2 linked regions of the Macaca mulatta genome follow. The protein of the gene in region 1 purifies or fractionates together with the protein of each later gene. This does not show direct contact. Links are inferred from orthologs where the notes say so. Each region holds a gene or a part of one and is shown on either strand. Other genes may lie near its edges. The genes, in order: MAP4K1 and NUDC.

What was found.
Region 2: the proteins of MAP4K1 (region 1) and NUDC purify together in Homo sapiens (affinity purification with mass spectrometry; 3 studies listed by BioGRID and IntAct, with this or other methods). This does not show direct contact. The link is inferred for Macaca mulatta from reciprocal best matches to the Homo sapiens genes MAP4K1 and NUDC.

The regions. Positions count from the first base shown.
Region 1 is NC_133424.1:49,699,107-49,702,912, reverse strand, and holds part of MAP4K1 (mitogen-activated protein kinase kinase kinase kinase 1), read left to right. Parts: coding exon 1-75; intron 76-1,688; coding exon 1,689-1,751; intron 1,752-1,861; coding exon 1,862-1,943; intron 1,944-2,937; coding exon 2,938-3,054; intron 3,055-3,286; coding exon 3,287-3,365; intron 3,366-3,806. UniProt on the Homo sapiens protein: Serine/threonine-protein kinase, which plays a role in the response to environmental stress. Appears to act upstream of the JUN N-terminal pathway.
Region 2 is NC_133406.1:214,057,576-214,061,959, reverse strand, and holds the start of NUDC (nuclear migration protein nudC), read left to right. Parts: upstream 1-1,534; 5' UTR 1,535-1,648; coding exon 1,649-1,729; intron 1,730-3,997; coding exon 3,998-4,075; intron 4,076-4,384. UniProt on the Homo sapiens protein: Plays a role in neurogenesis and neuronal migration. Necessary for correct formation of mitotic spindles and chromosome separation during mitosis. Necessary for cytokinesis and cell proliferation.

The sequences.
Region 1 (3,806 bases):
CATTTGGTCCCTGGGTATCACGGCCATCGAACTGGCCGAGCTACAGCCACCGCTCTTCGATGTGCACCCTCTCAGGTAGGCAGGTGTGGGGTCCCCAGGCCCAGAGATCCTGTCCGGCCCTGGCCCAAAGCCCACCCTCAGCTTCTGCCTTCCATCCCAGGAACCTCCAGTTCAGGGATCGCCACTTGAGCCTACCTTGGCACATGCTGCAGCTCTATTTTTTAAACTTAATTTAACATTTTATTTTATTTTTTATTTTTTAAGACTGAGTCTTGCTCTGTCACCCAGGCTGGAGTGCAGTGGCGCAATCTCAGCTCACTGCAACTTCCATCTCCCGGGTTCAAGCTATTTTCCTGCCTCAGCCTCCCAAGTAGCTGGGACTACAGGTGTGCACCACCACGCCTGGCTAATTTTTGTATTTTTAGTAGAGATGGGTTTTCACCATGTTGGCGAGGGTAGTCTCAAACTCCTGACCTCAGATTATCTGCCCACCTCAGCTTCCCGAGGTGCTGGGATTACAGGCGTGAGCCGCTGCACCCAGCCTATCTTTTATTTTAATTTTTATATATTTATTTATTTTTGAGATGGAGTCCCACTCTTGTCACCCAGGCTGGAGTGCAGTGGCACGATCTCAGCTCACTGCAACCTCTGCCTCCCAGGTTCAAGTGATTCTCCCGCCTCAACCTCCTAAGTAGCTGGGATTACAGGCAAGCGCCATCAAACCTGGCTAATTTTTGTATTTTTTGGTAGAGATGGGGTTTCACCATGTTGACCAGGCTGGTCTCGAACTCCTGACCTCAGGTGATCCACTTGCCTTGGCCTCCAAAAATGCTGGGATTACAGGTGTGAGCCACCACGCCCATTTTAAAAATTAAGTAATTAATTATTATTATTTTTAGAGACAGGATCTTGCTCTGTCACCCAGGCTGGAGTGCAGTGGCACCATCGTAGTTCACTTCAGCCTTGAATGCCAGGGCTCAAATGATCCTCCTGCCTTAGCCTCTCACATAGCTGGTCCTACAGGCCCACATTGCCATATCCAGCTATTAAAAAAAATTTTTTTTTTTTTTTTTTTTTTTTTTGAGACGGAGTCTCACTCTGCTGCCCAGGCTAGAGTGCAGTGGCTGGATCTCAGCTCACTGCAAGCTCCGCCTCCCGGGTTTACGCCATTCTCCTGCCTCAGCCTCCCGAGTAGGTGGGACTACAGGCGCCCGCCACGTCGCCCGGCTAGTTTTTTGTATTTTTTTAGTAGAGACGGGGTTTCACTGTGTTAGCCAGGATGGTCTCGATCTCCCGACCTCGTGATCCGCCCGTCTCGGCCTCCCAAAGTGCTGGGATTACAGGCTTGAGCCACCGCGCCCGGCCAAAAATTTTTTTTTTTTTTTGTCTCACTATGTTGCCCCAGGTGGTCTCCAACTCCTGGGCTCAAGCTGTCCTCCCGCCTTGGCCTCCCCAAGTGTTGGGATTACGGGCATGAGCCACTGCACCTGGCCTTGCCGTAGCTCTACCACGCCATAAGCGGCTTCCCTTAGGAGAGGTATCCTGGTGCACTGTAAAACCCGAACCTCACTTCCATGCTGTTTCTCACTTTGCCCTCTGCTGACCGTAATGCTACTAGGAACCCCTCAAGCCATGAGGTCTGGCCCCCTTGAAGGTCTGAACTCCATATCCTTTCCCTACTATTCTAGAGTTCTCTTCCTCATGACCAAGAGTGGCTACCAGCCTCCCCGAATGAAGGAAAAAGGCAAATGGTATGAGAGAGTGACAGGAGGGAGGGTGAGCGAGGGCGGGGCTGGGGCTGGGTGGCCTGATGGGAGGGTCTCTGGTCCCCTCACCCAGAACCTGGCTTCTTCTTCCCAAGGTCCGCTGCCTTCCACAACTTCATCAAAGTCACCCTGACTAAGAGCCCCAAGAAACGACCCAGCGCCACCAAGATGCTCAGTGTAACCCTCCCTTCCCCAAGAATTCCCCTCAGCCCAGAATTCCCCGGGGCCTTCCACAACTCCCGAGGACATGGATAACTTCGTTCCACGGAGTCCCCGTGGCCTTCCGAAGTCCCTAATGCCTCAGAATTTCCCAGGACCACCGTCCACCACTAGAGACCCTCTGGGCTATACCCCAAAACTTTCCCAAATCCCCTGAGTTGCCAGAACTCACAAATTCCCAAAGGACTCAAGACTTGTTCCTGAGTGTCCTCTTGAATCCCCAGGGAACCACAGTCTCTTCCAAGACAACTGTGGAATTCTCCCAGCCCTGCTCTGAGAAATGTAAATTCTAATTCCTAAAAATTTCTTAGACTCCCCAGGCTGGCTGGGCACGGTGGCTCATGCCTGTAATCCCAGCACTTTGGGAGGCTGAGGCAGGTGGATCACTTGAAGTCAGGAGTTTGAGACCAGCCTGGCCAACATGGTGAAACCCCGTCTCTACTAAAAACACAAAAATTAGCCGAGTGTAGTGGCGCGCGCCTGTAATCGCAGCTGCTTGGGAGGCTGAGGTGGGAGAATCACTTAAACCCAGGAGGCGGAGGCTACAGTGAGCCAGGATTGCGCCACTGCACTCTAGCCTGAGTGACAGGGAGAGACCCTGTCTCAAAAAAAAAAAAAAATTAGCTGGGCATGTTGGCATGAGCCTGTAATCACAGCCACTTGGGAGGCTGAGGCAGGAGAATCAATTAAGCCCAGCAGGTGGAGGTTGCAGCGAGCCTAGAGTGTGCCACTGTCTGGGTGACAGAGTGAGACTCTGTCTTAAAAAAAAAAGAATACCCCAGACCTCTGACAGTTCCCTGGATTTCCCCGCCCTCTCCATCCACTGGCACCTTCTCCCCAGCTAGATTCCTTTAGTCCAGTCCCCAAGGCCCTGTACCAGCCCTCTCTGTCCATACCAGCCCTCTCTATCCACTCCAGCCCTCTGGATATGGACACCTCTTCCCTCCCCCAGCATCAACTGGTATCCCAGCCTGGGCTGAATCGAGGCCTGATCCTAGATCTTCTTGACAAACTGAAGAATCCTGGGAAAGGACCCTCCATTGGGGACATTGAGGATGAGGAGCCCGAGGTGAGCGCCTTGGCTGACAAGAGCACTGGGGACCGCTTGGTCTTTCTCAGGCTGTGCCTGCTGCGGGCAGTGCCTTCCCGCTGCCTCTCTTAGGGGGAGAACAGGCAGGGAGGATGGGGAGCTTGGTACAAGGCTGTGTGCCCAGAGGGTTACAGGAAAGCAGATGGACCCCGGGCAGGGTAGGGGGCTGCTTGGGGGTCCTGAGCCCTGACGTGGCTGCCCCTCTGCCCAGCTACCCCCTGCTATCCCTCGGCGGATCAGATCCACCCACCGCTCCAGCTCTCTGGGGATCCCAGATGCAGACTGCTGTCGTGAGTAGAGAATCCTTATCTCTGGGGACACCTGACCCTATAATAGACCTAAGAGACCCCCTTCCCTTACCATCAGGCCACCAGAGACCCTCAGTATCATCTGATCCTATAAGAGACCCCAGACAATCTCATCAGCACCTGACCTACAAAATGACCGTAGAGGCTGGGCGCGGTTGCTCACGCCTGTAATCCCAGCACTTTGGGAGGCCAAGGTGGGGGGGATCATCTGAGGTCAGGATGTTGAGACCAGCCTGGGTAACAGGGTGAAACCCCGTCTCTGCTAAAAATACAAAAATTAGCCGGATGTGGTAGTGCGCGCCTGTAGTCCCAGCTATTCAGGAGGCTGAGGCAGGAGAATTGCTTGAATCTGTGAGGTAGAGGTTGCAGTGAGCCAAGATTGTGCCACTGCACTCTAGCCTGGGCGACAAGAGCGAGACCGTC
Region 2 (4,384 bases), on another chromosome or scaffold:
GCCGGGCACAGTGGCTCATGCCTGTAATCCTAGTGTGTTGCGAGGCCAAGGCAGGTGGATCACTTGAGGTCAGGAGCTTGAAACCAGCCTGGCCAAAATGATGAAAGCCCCTCTACTAAAAATACAAAAAAAAAAAAAAAAAAAAAAAAAAAGAAAATTAATTGGGCATGGTGGTGCCTGTAAGCCCAGCTACTTGGGAGGCTGAGAATCACTTGAACCTGGGAGGCAGAGGTTGCAGTGAGCTGAGATCGTGTCATCACACTCCAGCCTAGGCGACAGAGCTAGACTTTGTCTAAAATAATAATAACAATAATAATGGATAGACTAGAATAAACTGTAGAGAGATGGAAGGTGAGGGAGTAGAGAAACAAGCAAACAAGCTTGCTGCAAATGAGAGCTGAAAATTGGGGAGGTAGCAGCAGAAGAAAGTGGGGTCATGGAATAATAATATAAAAACAGGGCTGGGCATGGTGACTCAAACCTGTAATCCCAGCACTTTGAGAGGCTGAGGCAGGAGGAGTGCTTGAAACCGGGAGTTTGAGACTTAGCCTGGGCAACACAGACTCCATCTCTACCCAAAAAAAAAAAAAAAAAAAGCAGGGCTTGGTGTGAGCCTGTAGTCCCAGCTACTCTGGAGGCTGAAGTGGGGAGGATGGCTTGAGTCCAGGAGTTCAAGGCTGCCGTGAGCCATGATGGCGCCACTGAACTCCAGCTTGGGTGACAATGCAAGACCCGCACCTTTAAAAACAAACAAAAAGACATTAAGGCATGTTTGTAAATTGAAGGGAAGAATAAAGGTATTTGTGATGCAGAAGCTAAAAAAGGGATAATTAACAGGCATAGAGTTCCTGAAAAGACTAAGATGATGAGATTCATTGCAAAAGTGGAGGGATTAGCTTGGATGGCTGGGTCCTGTCCCTGCACTAACAGAAGTGAAGGTCAATTTCAGCACCTGTCATAATTTCCTGGGCCCTGTGCAAAGTGAAAATGTGGGGCTCCTTATTCCAAAATTATTAAGAATTTCAAGACTACAACAGAAAAGCATTAAATCAAGCGTGGAGCCTTTCTAAGCCTGGGTGCTGTGCGACTGCAATTTCTACTCCCATGAAGCTGGCCCTGGTCAAGTATGAAATGAGGTCGATGAGAAGGAGGCTGTCCTGTGGTAAGTCCCTTCTAGGATTGGAAGAGATGAGTAAGGCTACTTTCAGCTTCACTGTTCTACAAGCTGGGGGGTCACTAGCAAGGGAGAGGAGCAAAACTTGTCCCTTTTTAACTTCCAACTCTGCCAGATTTGAGTCCAGGGCTTTCTAGAAGTCTCCACGGCATCGGGTGACCATAGCAACTCATGCCAAACTCTCAAGCCCACGGCTCCGCCCACCGCTTCGTGGACGCGCTTGTTGATTGGCTCAGAATGTCGACCAATGGTCGGCGAAGCGGGTTGCTTGCCGCACGGTCAATGGCCGCGAGCCGGGAAGAAGGCGGGAAGAAAGGAGGAGGAGGCAGGCCTGCAGGGGCCGCGCGGGTGCGTGTTTCCGGCTCCGCTGCGGAAGGCGGACGACTAGAGTCGTTGGGCCCGGCGCGATCCGAAGGAGCCTAGAGAGCGCGGGACTAGAGTGCAGAGCTCGGGACGTGGATCGGAGCCGGCGCGATGGGCGGAGAGCAGGAGGAGGAGCGGTTCGACGGCATGTTGCTGGCCATGGCTCAGCAGCACGAGGGCGGCGTGCAGGAGGTAACGGTCCGCGCGGCGTCGGCCCATCCGGCGGCCCTGGCCAAGCTCCTTCCGCCCTTCTCTGCCTTCCAGGGCTGAGACCCACCCCTGGGGCTCGCGGGCTTCTGGGATGCCCCCACATTCTCACCGCGCCCAGCTTCCGGCCTGGCCACCCGCTGGCGGTCTCACCCGGTTCGCATCAGTTCTGGGCCCCCGGCGCCCCTCAGTAGTAGCAATTATCGCGTCCCTGAGCTTAGGATTCCCCTTTAGTTTCACATATACCCCCAACCCCGTTTCCACTTTCATGGCGTCTTCCGAGGAGCATCCCTTAGTAAGAACCGTGCCAAATATAGTGATTTGGATCCACCAAGGCTTGGGGCGAGCCGTCGAATGTGTGTGGTAGGGGCGCGGGGTGATGTTAGCACGTGGTCTTGTTAGGCCTTGAATGGGGGAATAGGAGAGGAGGCCTGTGTTCACGATTAGTTTCCACCACCTACCAACTTGGAACCTTTACATCTCTCCAAGCCTGAGTTTCCTTGTCTGTGAGACAGCTGCGAATGCCGGTTTCCCGAGAGTAGTGAAGTACCGTAAGTTCTCAGTAATAAGGCTTTTTCATTCAACAAGTATTTGTCGTGTGATTAATGTGTGTCCCACACTCAACGCGACTGGGGATACAAAAACTTGTCCTCGCCCTGATAGAGCTTACAAAGAGCATTTCAAAGAGATAATTCGTGCACAGTGACAGACACGGTAACACAGTGTATGAATAATAAGGGCCAACTGTTCCAGATTCTGGAGTTGGTTTTTTTGGAACAAACACAAAGTTAGAGGTAGAAAAGTCCGTCAGGATCAGAACTGTCATTCTCAGAGCCAGAAAAGTGGCAGGGATTTGCCTAGATCATACAGCGTGGTCCTCACCTGGACAGGTCAGTGTGCTTCCCAGAGTCCATGGCTGATTGTGTCTCACTGGAGGTAGGTTTCCATTGAACTTTCTATTGCTATGTAACCCAGGTGTCTGGTGACCAAGGATTTCTAAGCCCTTTGTGGTGGGGAGAGTGCTTCTAATTTGGAAGTGTGAAAAGCCTTCCTGTCTCCATTCCTCTAAACTGTTTACACAAAACTGGATTTGGGAGTGAGTTCATTTTTGAACAAACTGAAAAAGTGTCTAGAAGCAAGAATGGAAATCACTGATATATGTTCTAGCGTCAGATTTCATCAGATTTAGACCCACTCTTGGGCAAATAAAGGGCTTGTGTGTGCTGACTTTAGGTCACCGCTAGATTGTTTCATTCAGCAAGAATTTTACTGAGCATGTACCTTTAGCTCTATCTGGTGCCCAGCATTGCAGGTGGCAGATAGACTAAGCCATGGGTCATGGTCCTATTTGTAAGGTGTTTACCCTCTGCCAGTGGGTCTCTTGCTCTGTGCCATACGTGGCTGAAGGCCTCAACTCCATGACCTCATGATCCTCACCAGGTCCCTAGAAATAGGTACTGCATCTTATTCCTGTTGTACAGAGTTAAGAAACTTCTGCAAAGTCAAAAGGTAATATATGTCCGTCAGATACTCAAACCCTTGGCTACACTTGTACTCCAGCCAGAGTTAATCCATCTTATCCTCCTTTGAAGTGCTTCATTTGCTCTCCTCCGTCTTGCTTTGACCCAGTAACTTAGTGTCTTTTTTTTTTTTTTTTTTTTTTTTTTTTTAGACAGAGTCTCACTCTGTCACCCAGGCTGGAGTGCAGTGGCATGATCTTGGCTCACTGCAACCTCTGCTTCCCGGGTTCAAGTGATTCTCCTGCCTCAGCCTCCCAAGTAGCTGGGATTACAGTTGCCCACCACCGCACCCGGCTGATTTTTGTGTTTTTAGTAGAGGTGGGGTTTCACCTGTTGGCCAACCTGGTCTTAAACTCCTGACCTCAAGTGATCCGCCCTCCTGAGCCTCCTGAAGTGCTGGGATTACAGGTGTGAGCCGGTGTCTTGATGGGGTTTTTAAAGCTGGGCCTGGGCTTTTCATGCCCTGGATGCAGAGGAGTATTGCATACACTTAGGCTGCTTCAGGCATCACAAGGAAAATGAAACGCGCACACTCACACAGGATATGAGAAATCTGCTTCATGGTGGAAGTAACTAAGAGAACCTGCTGGGGAGATGTCTCCTCAGTTGGGAGGCTCAGAGGAAAAATAGTCAAGTCCCAAGTTGCCTCCTAGACAAAAGAAGTTGACTTGTGTGCACTTGAAGGGCTCCCAAATGGCAGCTCCACACCTTTAATCTTCTCCCCATCTTTCAGCTTGTGAACACCTTCTTCAGCTTCCTTCGACGCAAAACAGACTTTTTCATTGGAGGAGAAGAGGGGATGGCAGAGAAGGTAAGTGTTGGAAACTGCTCTCTTTTCGGCAGCTCTGTCTCTTCAGAAGAAAAACTCACCTGGTCTTCCTTTGGCATAATAGTAACTAACTTTCAGCAGAAGCGAAATGTCAGAGGTGAGGAGTTGGGGAAGGGAAGGAAGCTGTCATTTCTTCGGTCTCCACTCCTTGCTCAGCGCTCTATCTACCTTATTTCCCATGATTTTTGCAGTTCTACAAGAGGGGCAGGTGTTAACTATCCCCGTTGAGGAAACTGGCTCAAGAGAGTTTTGCACCTTATCCAAAGTCTTGAGCTGAGCTATGGGAGAACC